2 linked regions of the Styela clava genome follow. The protein of the gene in region 1 purifies or fractionates together with the protein of each later gene. This does not show direct contact. Links are inferred from orthologs where the notes say so. Each region holds a gene or a part of one and is shown on either strand. Other genes may lie near its edges.

What was found.
Region 2: the proteins of transcription regulator protein BACH1-like (region 1) and uncharacterized protein LOC120332374 purify together in Homo sapiens (affinity purification with mass spectrometry; 6 studies listed by BioGRID and IntAct, counting the BioPlex papers as one, with this or other methods). This does not show direct contact. The link is inferred for Styela clava from reciprocal best matches to the Homo sapiens genes BACH1 and HMMR.

The regions. Positions count from the first base shown.
Region 1 is NC_135250.1:11,746,494-11,753,574, forward strand, and holds the start of transcription regulator protein BACH1-like, read right to left. Parts: upstream 3,014-7,081; 5' UTR 2,883-3,013; coding exon 2,876-2,882; intron 2,069-2,875; coding exon 1,941-2,068; intron 514-1,940; coding exon 392-513; intron 1-391. UniProt on the Homo sapiens protein: Transcriptional regulator that acts as a repressor or activator, depending on the context. Binds to NF-E2 DNA binding sites. Plays important roles in coordinating transcription activation and repression by MAFK.
Region 2 is NC_135262.1:5,431,911-5,438,752, forward strand, and holds the start of uncharacterized protein LOC120332374, read left to right. Parts: upstream 1-3,813; 5' UTR 3,814-3,912; coding exon 3,913-3,958; intron 3,959-4,254; coding exon 4,255-4,478; intron 4,479-5,319; coding exon 5,320-5,466; intron 5,467-6,842. UniProt on the Homo sapiens protein: Receptor for hyaluronic acid (HA). Involved in cell motility. When hyaluronan binds to HMMR, the phosphorylation of a number of proteins, including PTK2/FAK1 occurs.

The sequences.
Region 1 (7,081 bases):
TCTATCTCTCTCCTATCGTGATCGTTGCGACGAGAAAACGAGAGAAATAGCTTGCTTGATTTCGGGTTATCGTCTGCGTGTTTTGGACGACCATTCGCATACTTCGGTGGGCCTTATCACGCCACTGTGACGTCGGAATGACGTAATTTATCGGTGACGTAGTCAGGTGGGGGTTAGGATTGACATATGCAAAAATTGTTGAGTCAGGCCAACTAGAAGTGGATGTGGTACTAAACTATACCAGACCCTAGATATGCTCTATCTTCTAATAGATAGTTAATAAATATATCAAACAAGTACTGTCTGTAATAACTAATAGGTTTTTCAATTTAAACAAAGTAAGATGAATATGATATGAAAATAAACACTAATACACAAGAAAACTACTAACTTGCTTATACTGCTCAATTCCAAAACAATATTATGAGAAACGTTCGCTGGATCTGTAATAATTCTATTAAAATAAGAACTGCATGATGCCAAGATAGCTTTATGTGCCTTGAATTCTGCATCCTGAAAATAAACAAAACATTTGGTTCTCAGAATTTTACATTTTAACAAACATTTTCATGTTAATATCTTTAGTAAGAATTCAGTTTATTCTGTAGCATTTCAGTAACTTAGCCTAGTTTAGATATTGGCAGAGCAAATAGTAATCTGATAATATCATGGACACTTGAAGATTCTGAAATAAAAAAATTTGACTGATTTCTCTCCCAGATATTTTTTTAACAAACTGAAGTGAATAGATTTGTATCAGACCGAGCAACTATAATACCAGTTTCATCAATTCAACTGAAATCAATGGCACCAAATTTAAATAAATCACCATAGAAAATTGTTTATATATGGTCATGCTTTTTTGATAAGCACTTCATTCTGGTAGTCCATAGCACATGAATATAACACTATCAAGTCAAAATTGAAGCTTTAGCAATAAAACAGATAACTTGACCGGTGACCATATCAAGTGATTGATCTTCCATTAGCAATAATTCAACATTAATAAAAAGCTTAATGTATATGCAATTGTTCAATAAAAGATTGGATTATATGGCTCGCAAAATAGACATGAACAAATTTCTATATACAAGAGAAAGATACTCCACTCAATCTCTTTAAACATCACCGATTTCTTGCTTAATTTCGCTTAATTCGGAATTTTGACTATCAGTTATAAATAGAAGCATACTACTGGTGCAGGGAAAACATGGATATCTGTAAAGCCACATTTCATTATCCTGAATTGAATCAAAAGTGATATATTTCTAAACAGTCTATTTTAGCCGAATCGAAAGTAAGATCAATTTTACAGTGTAAAATCACTATGCCACACAAATATATATGATAAGGTTTAGAAGAAAAAAAAACAGAAATTTGAACTTTTTTATGAATAAAATATTTCTGAATTCATTTTATTGAGATGCACCGTTACTGAACAAAGGTTGAATGAAATATATTAACTCCTTTATTAAATACAAATGGGTGTTGAGTAGTTTCCACCAGTAATGGAGAAATATGTCTTGCATCAAATCATATTAAAATTAAATTGATATAATATGATTGCATTTTAATAATTGAGATAACATCTGTCCTATTATAGAGTTTGAATGTTGTTATTACACTCAGATGGAAAAAGTAAAAGAAAACAGAAGTGATAGCCATCTTCCATTAAAAACTAAAGAAGCAGAAGCAAAACTAGCTTAATCATGTTTTGAAAAGAATTCGTGCGTGCGTCAGCAGTGGGATGACTCATTCCAAGACTACGAATAACAATAAGAGATGTCTCCTGTCTGACTGTATGGAACAATACCGTTACCTAGAACTAGAGCAATATTTCATCACTAAACACGAGTGAGGCACACTATGAACTATAATACAACAATACAAACCTTTTTAAAACTTTTAAACAATGCTCCTGATCTAATAATTTGACATACCTGAACCATGATTGATATATCACATAATAATCCACATTTTCTCTGTTCATTCAGCGTTATCAAGACATTTCCAATATGAATATTTGATTCATACACATAAGCTGGCGGTAAATCGCAATGCATGGCACCTAAAACACAGACAGAAAATAAATTTAATACAGCAATATGTATCAGAAGTACGGGTATGTATGACCAAATACATCATAATGGGCGCTCCAGAAGTATGTGTACAAATATGGAGGTAACTAATTTTGTTCGCCTATTTTACATCAAGTTGTGTAAAGGGACTCAAACCTCAAGGAGGATATTCACTTGCTAACACAGCCAGTCCCCAAACTGGTAATAGAACTAAAATAAGGAAATTCGAAATAAAATTTTGGCCTAACCCTAAGCTGGTACACATACTACGGGAGTACCTCATAATGGATCATTCAGAAACTCCAACCAAAACAAATGTACAGAAATGAAATCATTTACAACAATAGTTCAATAACAATTACACAACAAAGTGAGTGACGGAAACTACTGTAAATATACTTTCTGCTTTTCTCAGCATATTTATATAGACTTGTTGGCTGTAAAGGGTGTTCAAAATTAACTGTAATTTTGCAATTTTCAATCAAGGATGTCCAAAAATAACACTACTATTCCGAGCAGATTCTAAAACGATACTCTTAATAAAGAATATCAAACATTAATTCAAATTGAGCTGAACTAAAACACATAGAGGTCACTGTACATTGAATTTAAAAGTTAGAATGGCCATGTCATAATTCTATTCCGTGAGTAGTTATAAGCAGCTGAGCGAAACTTGTGGGTTTGAATTTTAACAGAGAAAACATAACCTTGATGAAAATAATAGGTTTCAGGAATTTGCACTATTATATAATATAAGATTTTACATAATATCAAATCATAAAAAAATACTCCAGTACCTGCCATCTTCAATAATGAAAGTTCAGATCAAATCCTTATATCCTTCTCTGTAGTCAAAATCTATCTTCGAGTTAATCCATAAATACCAATCTATAGTATCAATATGAGTACAAGTCTGAAATTAAATTAAAGAAGATAGTTATGGATATGGTGTTTCTGTTTACACCGATATGCATAAATTAGACAACCACTTGGTGTTCGTGTTTCAACTAATTGGAAATCCAAAGTGATGAATAAGGGATCTAGTTTACTCAAGAAAAGTTTGACGAGTTACCGGTGGTCCTTCGGTATGTAATCCTAGCGGTTGTGTGATCTCAGTGATATTAGTTATGGTTAGGAACTGAAATCTATGAGAATGTCTTTATGCTTTATCTATTTATATGTCTTCACTCTGTTTGTATGGATATATCATTTCAAAATTATAGTTGGGTAGATTAACTAACAACCATAATAAGTCTTCAATAATGAATAATATTTGAGGGGGTCACAAGCGTTTGTATAAAACCCTTTTTAGTTATATTTTAAACTTTTATGGGTCTTGTTGTTTTCCTGAAATTATTGCAAGTTATCTCCTATTATTGCCACTTTTTATTGCAATTCATCCTAAGTCTATAATACTTCTATAAAATTTTCAATAAATTTACAATAAATTTCTCCAGAGCTGTTTTGATTTCCTTCCCTCTCATAACTGCATTATTGGACCTATGGATCATTTTGTTAAATTATTGTTGTTGTTAGTAATATTGGTATTTTTTCTTCCTTTTGTTGTTATAAAAAGTTGTTTTTCTCTATAAATATAGATTCAATTGCTTTGAAATTTTTAGTGGTTAAAGATTGTTGTCGCTGGAAGTGTTTATTACTTATATTATTTCAAAAACTTATGTGGAATCTATAAGATACATTTTTCACTTCAAAGTTTTGTGTGATGACGTCATCAAAAAAAGCACGTTTTTATTAAACTGCCTTATGCCACCGGGTGACAGAATGTGTTTACTATTTATCAATGGCCAATCTGAAAACAACTAATAATCAGAAGTATCTCAAAGTGCGACAACAGTGGGGCGATGCTCAAGGTGGTATGTGAAAATGGTCATTTGGAGATAATAGGGTAACTTACGTTATAATATACATCACCTATAGCAGCGGTTCCGAAAAGGGTGCGACGTGACAAATTCGTCACAAAAATTAACAAAATTTGGTTAAACATAATAACTAACATGTAACTGAATATTTTACATATTGTATTTATTATAAATGTTCTATTTATTTTTATTTTAAATAATGTGTATATAAATCAATAAATTCATTCTACCTTTCTATGTCGTTTACTTTCTGTTACGTGGTATTTACCTCTATTGTTACGTAACAATAGAGATAGCTACTGCTTGCTGCAATAACGCGAGCTGCAGTTTATTTATAAGCTGAACAGTATTTAGCGAACATGAGTGATTTGTTTTGCATTTCAAAGAAAAATCAGGCAGAGATGGGGAAGAAAAGTTGACCATCTGCCTTTATTCCTCAGGCTGTCAGGCCTGCATGTTTACAAACTCCAATAGAATAAACTACATATTAACAATCACAAATTGAGTTTTACTCAGAAGCAGCATTTTTTTGGTGTAAGTGTGACGTGAGTGTTTTTTCCTAATAAATTGGCGCCGCATGAAAAAAAAGTTTGGGAACCGCTGACCTATAGTATTGACGAATACTGGAATAAGTTAAAGTAACCGACTAGAATTATCTGCCAGTTAGGAGTTGAATGAACATATGAAGTATTGGTCTGAATAGAAACTTCAAATAACAATTTTTGAAATGGTTAGATTTTTAACTGTCTCCCAGTATCCTCTCAACTTTTTCTAGATTTTCTCCAGTTTAGATTTCTAGTTAAGACAAAAAAACTAATATGCAGAATCAACAATCTGACAATGAATTTCAATGAAGTGAAATATCTTATGACTTGATTCTTCATGGGAAAAACCTTGAAGATCTATTCACAGTTGCAAATTCAGGGAACTCTCTCTGTCTCGAAACTCTAAAGGCTGAAATGCCGTACTGTGTTAATAAATTTGGATTCAGAGATTAATCTATAATTAATCTGTCATACCACATTCTGCCATTTAAATCAGTGTATTCAAGTATTGCTTTCTTGTTTCCGAAATTAGGTTCAGTCAATACAGAAAGTACCTAGGCTAGATCAATATTTTTGTCTCAGAAGACCAAGGTCACTCTAGTCCAGAATTTCATAGAAGTCAGAAGGTTAATCATGCATATATTTATAAAAATAAGAGAGCAAAATCTGAAAAATTGTGGGCTGGCGTACAGGCGCAACCCTGCTTTACAACAAAATGCAAATGCCAGAATGCCATTGTCCTGTTGTCAGCACATGCAGACATGACTTAATTAGCCTATTTCCTAGATACTGAGATAGGATTTTACATATTTATCCTAACGGCCTCTCGTCTGGTTACCATTCCATGTCGGGTATGGGATTCAGTAGTTACAGAGTTACGGTATTTGCTTTCGGAAGCATGGACTCGATGGTAGAGAAAGCCGTAACCTGCCGATTAGTGGAAAACTTGAATACCGTAACCTCCTGAATAACTTCTTTTCACTTTTTAGATAATGTGAAGAACAGCTCTGAAAATAACTTCACGAAACAAAACTTCTTGAACTGAAATAGAACCTGTGATACCGGTACTTGCGAAATTGTGAAGTGGAACCAATTCTTGCCGCGAGGAAGGCCTGTTGTTCTAAATACAATATAATGATATAATCCAATACAATTTTATTTCTGATGTCCGGATTAACACTAGATGTCGATGGAGCGCAGGAAAATCAACCTTAGATTTTTGGACGTCAGTGGACAACAATTACTAATTTTACATGTGTATATTATCCTCAAGTTAATTGAAAAGTACATTGTGTGATGTGTCTTGGGTATTACTAAATCAACAGTAGACAGAAATATTACAGTTTATTATAGGACAAAATAAGACATCAGTATAGATAGAGGCACGGGTCGCGTGACTTTGTTTACTGGACGGCAAAAAAACAAAACGTCCATTTGGCTCCTTTCAGTTGCAAGTCGGATTATACGTTCCCGTTTTGTTTGGCTGTTGAAAATGGTTATTTCGTATTGTTCCGCTGGCTGTACGTATAGTATAGACCAGTGGTTCCCAAACTTTTTGTACCATCGCCCCCTATAGTAGTTTATACAACTTCATCGCCCCCCCGGCACTGCAAAAAAAATTGAAAGTCTGAAACGAATATATTACAGACCAAATAAGGAGACAAATCATAGTTTATAGTGTTTTTTAGTGAGATGGATGAGCTTGGTGTTTTTCAGCGAGTTTTTCATTACATCTAAAATTACCCCGTTTACTGATGGAAAGGCGATTTAGTTGTTTTGATAGCAATAGCAGCACGGCTAAAAACCCCTCTTTCACCATATCAGAGGTCGGAAATGAAAGAATTCAGGGTTCTACCTCCTCAAAAACCGCCGTGTACTCTTGCATTTAATTCCGTAAATTTACCCCATTTCACATTGAAATAATGAAAACAAAATTAATTTTCCAAAACTTATAATAATGATTTTCGTAAATCTTATTCATCCCTGCAGCCTGATGACCTTCACCAAAATACATGATATATATATATATATAACGGTCTCCGGTAAAATGCATCCCCGATTCCTCATCTTACCACGTCCTCCAGTCCGATCACTCTATAGAATTAATCAGCCATTTGTTTTGGATTCGTGGACTCGGATGGCCTAGGGGTCGGTAAATTTTAAGTCGCTCGAGGGACAAAATTTAGGGTTGCTATTCTTTTGCGGATCGCATATATTTTTTGAAAGTTAAAAACGGAACATCGTGCGGAAACTGCGACAATTCGTGAACTCAACTGAGTCGTCGTATTAAAAAAATATTACAATGACATTCAATGTGACACTGACTTGTTGCTGCATAACGCTTGATAGGATCACGACGCCAAGATTGGAAGATTTTCTAAATGGGCATCACTAATCCTAGTTTTTTGCTTGTTCTTTGTAATGTTCATTTTCGAAAATAATTGTTCGCACAGATATGTACTTCCAAACATTGAGGTGAATATTTTCGCATGGTTTGTGAAATTTTGATAAAGATTTTCTTCAAGAAGATACATTCTTACAAAAATTAAGCCGTGGTGAATCTCTCGAATAGAATATG
Region 2 (6,842 bases), on another chromosome or scaffold:
TATGAAAAGAACTATAACGCCATAACAAACAATCTTGATTAGCTAATAATCATTGGTCGGCAGAGGAATTGCATGTTTAAGGATGCCGAAATATAATTTCTGGAAAGTCCGGATCCGAATATCTTTGAAGTTTTGTATGCGGACCTTCGGTAAAAATAGTTGAGTAGCCCTGGTAGTATATGTACCGGGGCATTTTCCCTTAGGCCTCCACAATGGTACGTGCAGTACTGGAGCGCCGTAAGTTTTGTACGAACAGTTCAGATTTGTTGAATTCACAAAAATACGAATCAAAACAAAATATAATCGGGCACTTTACCATGCATTTTGTGTCCACTGATTGTCATGATATTTTCTGATTAGTATTGCTTTTATTTCGTCAACACAGCCGCAGATTAAAATGATAATCATTAAATTAATAATAAAGCAAGGTGGTGAATATGTATTTTTGATTTACAAATATACTTTAAGTATATTTTTAATAAGTACTAAATCAAATCTTGTACTTTCTAGAAATTTATAGCAGATTGTAGGATTTTTCTAACGACGATAACAAAAAATTTGCAAGATCTCTAAAAGTATGTATCAAACCTAAATATAATCGGGCAATATGTTAGCAGATTGCCGTGGCATTTTAAAGAAGTAATGCTATCATCTTGTCGTAAGACGACGCAACCGCGAGTTACCATGAACGCAATTAAAATAGAAAGACAATTTAAATTCTCGTCGTCGTCACTAAAAAGTCAACTGTTTTAACGGACGCGTAATTGCGGCGAAATTCTGATTTTGAAATTCGTTCAAATTCCGTTGTGTTTGATTTTATTGCTTCTTCACACAGAGTACGGTTACAATAAGCGGCTAAGCGCACCTTGAATCCGCAAAGGTTTTCGCTGGTGAGAAATTGGTCCGCGACCAAAAAAGGTTGGGAAACGCTGCGCTAGTGAATCTGTATGCATATGATGCAAGAATGCTGTAGCAGGAATAAAAATACCATACTATGCAGTTCAAGAGTCCTGCTGCACACTAACACAAATTTATTTCTGTAACATACAACAATGACAACTGCTTGTCTGAGAAAGTCTGATTTTGTTCATACGAATTGTTACAGAAATACATTCGTGTTAGTGTGCAGCAGGACTCTTGAATTGCATAGTTCATTATAATTGGCTGAAATGCTTTCTCGCTTGGGCTTGATAACCAGCTTTGGCTCCCCGCGTATTTCCTTCCCAGTAAAACTGTGTGGTAAATTTTATCTCATAATTCTTTTTTCTATCGTTGATTAATCGGGATTTTGTTTCTATGTGTGTTCGTATCTCTACTTTTTTATGATTCAATGTAGTCGGCTAATGTTGATATTCTGCTTCAATGCTTCTATTATCATTACTGTTTATTGGTTTGTCTGTTTATGTCAAGCATTTTTGGAATATATTCAGACTGATATAGTTGGGTTATTTACACGTAACATTTTACGTGTTAGTAAGTTAGTTAGTTAAGCTTTACGTGATACCAACATCAGAATCGCGTAAGTTTTAACGATTTTATGGGCCATTTGTCAAATACCCTGTGTTTCCTTCTTTAATTTTTGCAGTTGCATATCGGAATCACATTCAGTAGTTTGTAGTTTCTCGAGTTCAAATGCATGTATGTGCTTTAGAAAGCGCTAGACACGTACCGGTGTCATTTTCGATTAAATTTTATTAAGAGCAAATATGTTTTACGCAGGTGAGTGGAAGTAGTATGTATTTACGGTGGAAGCGAATGAAATAATACCGTATCTCGTAGAGCGTCATCAGATCCACCTCTGGGCACCACCTCAGCATGATGCGTGATTTTTCATGTACTTTTCACAAAAATCTTAAGCTGTTCAATATCTGCAATAATTAATTTTTAATGTATGAATTATATAAATTCACCATTTCCTGAAATAAATAACGCAACCATTCACCCGGTCCAAATAATTCCGTTCCGTTAATAAGCACAATCGTTTTCGCGGTATTTATTTTTCCCTTCAAACTGCCAGACGTTATTGAAGTTAATGGCCTTGTGCAGATCAAAGTGAATAAAGTCACTTTGGTGCAGATCAACTAGAACAGGGGTCGGCAACCTTTTGTCGCTCGCGGGCCAAAATTAAGGTTGCAAGTCATTGGCGGGCCGCACTTATTTTTAGAAAGTTTAAAAACCTAACGGATGGTACTTCTTAAAATAAAAATCAAGCAGTGATACATCTCTTGAATAGAATATAGTTTTATTTCCTCATTGCATCTCATAAAATTCCATTTCAATAATTTCAGCGCCATTGAACCCTTTGCACTTAGCATCAACTTTTCTGCGTTTTGTTGCCATTTGCCTAATTATAATTAAATTGTGTGCTCATTAAACGAGTAATTGTGAATTATATAATTGTTAGGTTATAATATAATTTAGTCTAAAGAATATATTCGTCAAAGCGGATGTTTTGTTACTATAATTTAGTGAAGCGTCGCGGGCGGGATCCGGCCCGCGGGCCGTAGGTTACCGACCCCTGGCCTAAGTAGTAAAATCGGAAAATGTGAAGTTACAAAATCACAGCTAAGGGGTCGTTGTCTTTAGAGGCGTCCCACTTTGATGTCACAAAAATATGGTAACCCTAATTATAAACGGATGTTTTGTTACTATAATTTAGTGAAGCGTCGCGGGCCGGATTATAGTGCTCCGCGGGCCGGATCCGGCCCGCGGGCCGTAGGTTGCCGACCCCTGAACTAGAAATAGTTTGTTGTTTTATGGACTTTTTTTGTTATGTCTGCGGGTTCGATGTTAGCATCTACCTGTACCAGTCCATGTCGGGTACCGGTATAGGATTAGTTTGTCTGTTAATTGTTGTTTATTTCGGAAGCATGTAGTTCTACTTCTAGTGCAGTAGCGTTGGGTTTACCGGTATATTAGTCGGTGTCTAGGCAGCAGATCATTAATGTCAGAATGTTGAAAGCATTTTGTCAATTGAGGAATTGTAGTTTAAGTATTTTGACTGTGTAATCAGCACCAGAAATGAAGTATTATGAAATTACCGGTACGGCAGTTACCGGTACCGGTATCTAATATCAGAATATATCGGTATATCACAAATAGTGTATCAATTTTGTAATCAGTGGATGTGTCACAGTGTCAGGGTAAAGGCGCGGCGGTGTGGCTCAATGGGCTAAGCGTTAGGCAGTTAGGAATACGCTCGCCACCGCACCTCTAATTATTCTGCGTGGTTCCGCAGGTCAGCAGGTTCAAATCCCATGTAGGGATGGTTATGTGCGAGAGGATTGCTGGACTCCTCGCCGTCGTTGGGTGGTTCACGTAACCGCTGGTCGGTTACGGCTTCCTCCACCACCAAGCCCATGCTTCCGAAAACAAACAATACAGTAGACTAAAACTAATCCCATTTGGTAAGACTTGGAATGGTAACCGGACGGGAGGCCGTGGTTCGCCATATGGCTGTATGGATAAGCCGGCTTTTCTTTCCCCCAGGATAAATATGTAAATTCTATCCCTCCTATCCTACTGTACGGTACCGTATATTAAGAAGGAGCACTCACTCATGGCTTTCGTTTCTTTCGCTAAAATGCAAAAATATGATTGCGGCTGTACAGCGTACAGGAATAGCATGAATGGTTGAATGGATTATACAAAGAACAGAAGAATTAGGCTTCTAACATCTGAACATGGAACATGCTGTACCAGGGCTCTCTACCAACAGACCAATAATAAAAACTATCCAAGACCATTGGGGCATTTTGATCTCCACTATCTGATGATCTGAACAAGTAGCTTATTAGAAATAACTGAAATTAGATTTTTGTTTTCTATTATGTGTTTCCAGTGTTATATATCTCTATGTGAATTACTTTCAAATTGTTATAATAGTTCCAACTTTCTGCCATCGGCAGAAAAATGTCATTTCCAAGAGCACAAGTAAAACGTTTCAATGAACAGCCAGGTAAGTTTCACAATTACCGGTACTCTGATCGATATTTTATAAATACCACTAAACATTGAAGTCCTATTTTAGTTGTCATGAAAAAGTCTAGACAGGCCTGTGGAGTCGTATGCTTCATTTATCCTTCTGTTTATTTATTATGTTGTTTTATAGTAATAAAGCAAATAGCCATATTTATAGCGGATCGACAAAATTTAAACTGCAGTGGGGAACCACTGTTCTACAACACATAATTTTTATCTGTTTAATGTGAGAATTGTTGCCATATATTGTTTTCTTATATTCTTAATTTCCAGGATGTGCACCTCCCCCTGGTCATTATACTGTGCCTGATATAAAAAAGAGTGGTTCTGGTATCTTGTCTTTTGAAACTGGAGGACAGAGATTCAAAACAGAGAATAAATCGGAGAGAGATGCCATTGATGATGTCACAGAACAACTTTCTACCGCATTAATCAATCACAATACACATTCTTCATCAAAAAAGAAATTAGATTTTGCTGTTCCTGCACCAGTTTCAGTGAGTTTTATGTTATATTTTAGTAGTTTCCAACCCTTTTGCAATATTTTCTACCATTTACCCATCTTCATTCGTTCCTGGCTAAAAACTCATTTTTTGTTTGTTGTTCTCATTAGCTAGTGATATGCACAACTTGTATGCGTCTCTGTTCTCTTTTCTCATACATTGAATAATTTATAAAATGTGCGCATAAACGAGTGTGAGATATTACGGAATAGCTAAAACATGTACTACATGCAATAACAAAGTAAAAATTCCCCCAAGGTTGGGAAACCTGGTTATATTCGATGTTTGCCAGCTATTTCACCTCATCTACATCTTTTTGGGGGTATGAATATTTATTTTCAAAAAACAATTCTGCTTTTTATTCAGACTTGGTTGTTGATGATATTCAAATGTGAAAGATTCTATATTCCTTGAAGTGAACATTCCCTAATATGTAAATTATTCTATCAATGTAGTTATTGTGTATTTTATTTATGTGACATCCATAGATGGCTTTAGAAAAATAAAACCTCTTTGTTTATTTATCTTAAAGTGGAATAAACACTTTCTGGTATTGAAGTGTTCCTTAAATTTTTAATTAGATCGTGATCAATAATATTTTTTCGTTCACATAAATAGTTCTGATTTGTTGATTTAGTATTAGAGTCTTTTTTTAAAGAGCAACATATAGAGCAAATAATTTTGAAATAGTATCTTTCAATTTATTTTGATGATGTACAGCAGTGAATTCGATTAATCCTATCAGATATCCCACTTTATTTTTCATTACGTAAAATCTAATGTCACTAAAAATGTCAATTAACAATGACTAAACCTTTTTTACAATATTTACCAGACGAAATCAAAATCCAATTCAAATAAAACGACACCTCATCCATCTCCATCTATGAATGGCAAAGATAAACAACGATATGAAAAAGAAATCCGAAGCCTGGTTCAACAAATTAGCGAACAAGAGAGAAAATTACAACTCAAAATTCAGGTAAATATTTTTGGTCATATAGGACATAGGTTCTCAAAGTGCTCCGTACGGAGCCCCAGGGCTCCGCGAGAGGAACCCAGGGGCTCCGCGAGCTATTCAATTACTTTTCAAAATACTGACTAATTTTGTAACTGTTTAAAGAAGCAATAACAGCTTTGATAAAATCTGACAACAATATGGCCTCGAATTATGGCAAAGAGGCTGAATTAAAAAATGACATTATTTATAAGCAGGAGCGCAGCCAGGATTCTTAAGAGGGGGGTGGTTCAAAATTGGAATCGGAAATTACCGCGCAACATTCTTCGCGATTAAAAAAAACGTATAACGAGATTTCTGTTGTGTGAAATATTCAATCCATGACCAATGCGAGCATTTAACGTGTCTCGTCGTTATAATGTAATTGTGCTCATCGTTACTCACGTTCGATTCGATATTACTATTAGGATTACTAAAATGGAAGAATATTATTCTGAAATAACATAAAATATGTGATAAACTGCCAACTATCAATAAATTGGAGTCGTATTTTTGCGATATTGGGATTTGTCAAACTTGATTTGTTCTTTCGCACTTGAGATTATTTTTAAGCAAGATATCGCCCTTTAAAAAAACACAATGTCTGGGCAAAATACGAACAATTGAAATTTATTTTATTGCATTCGGCTCCGTCGGTAGTTTCAGAATGAAAAAAGGTACATCGCGGATCCCGCGCACAATTGATTGCGTGCGGCTCCGTCGGTAGTTTCAAAATGGGAAAAAAAGGTAAGCCTTGCTCAGGAATATTAATCCGAAAGTAACAATTTTAACATTTATTTTGGGGCTCCGTGAATAATAGTTAACCTTTTCAAGGGCTCCGCAACATCAAAAGTACCCCTGATATAGGACATTTGCTGCAGAAGTTGTCAATGAGGTATTTAATGGCTTCTGCTCCAGAGTCATAGTTTTAATGTACTATGCAGGCAGTGGAACTGGAGCTTTATTTTTCACTTCTGAGTCCTGAACATGGCTGTGGGACAAAAATACATTTGTCTTAAAAATTTAAAATTAAATTTCAATCAATTTATAAAAAAAATTATACTCTAAAAGGGATAGATTCTATTACTTTTATAAAATTATATAAATAGGAAAAACTAATTTGACTGTTTGCTGCTTGAGCTATTAAACTTCCTGGCAGCTGCGACTACAGCTCTATCAATTATGATAAACTTGACTTTAACAAACGCTAGGGGCCGGCTTCCCAGCCATTGTGCAGAAAACCAATTTCCCAAATACTTATTTAAAAACCAAGAAATACTTTTGGCAATAGGCAGAGTTATCAATAAAGATGTAATGCGATGCCGATGGATTTTCGAATTTTTGTCTCAATGAAATCAACC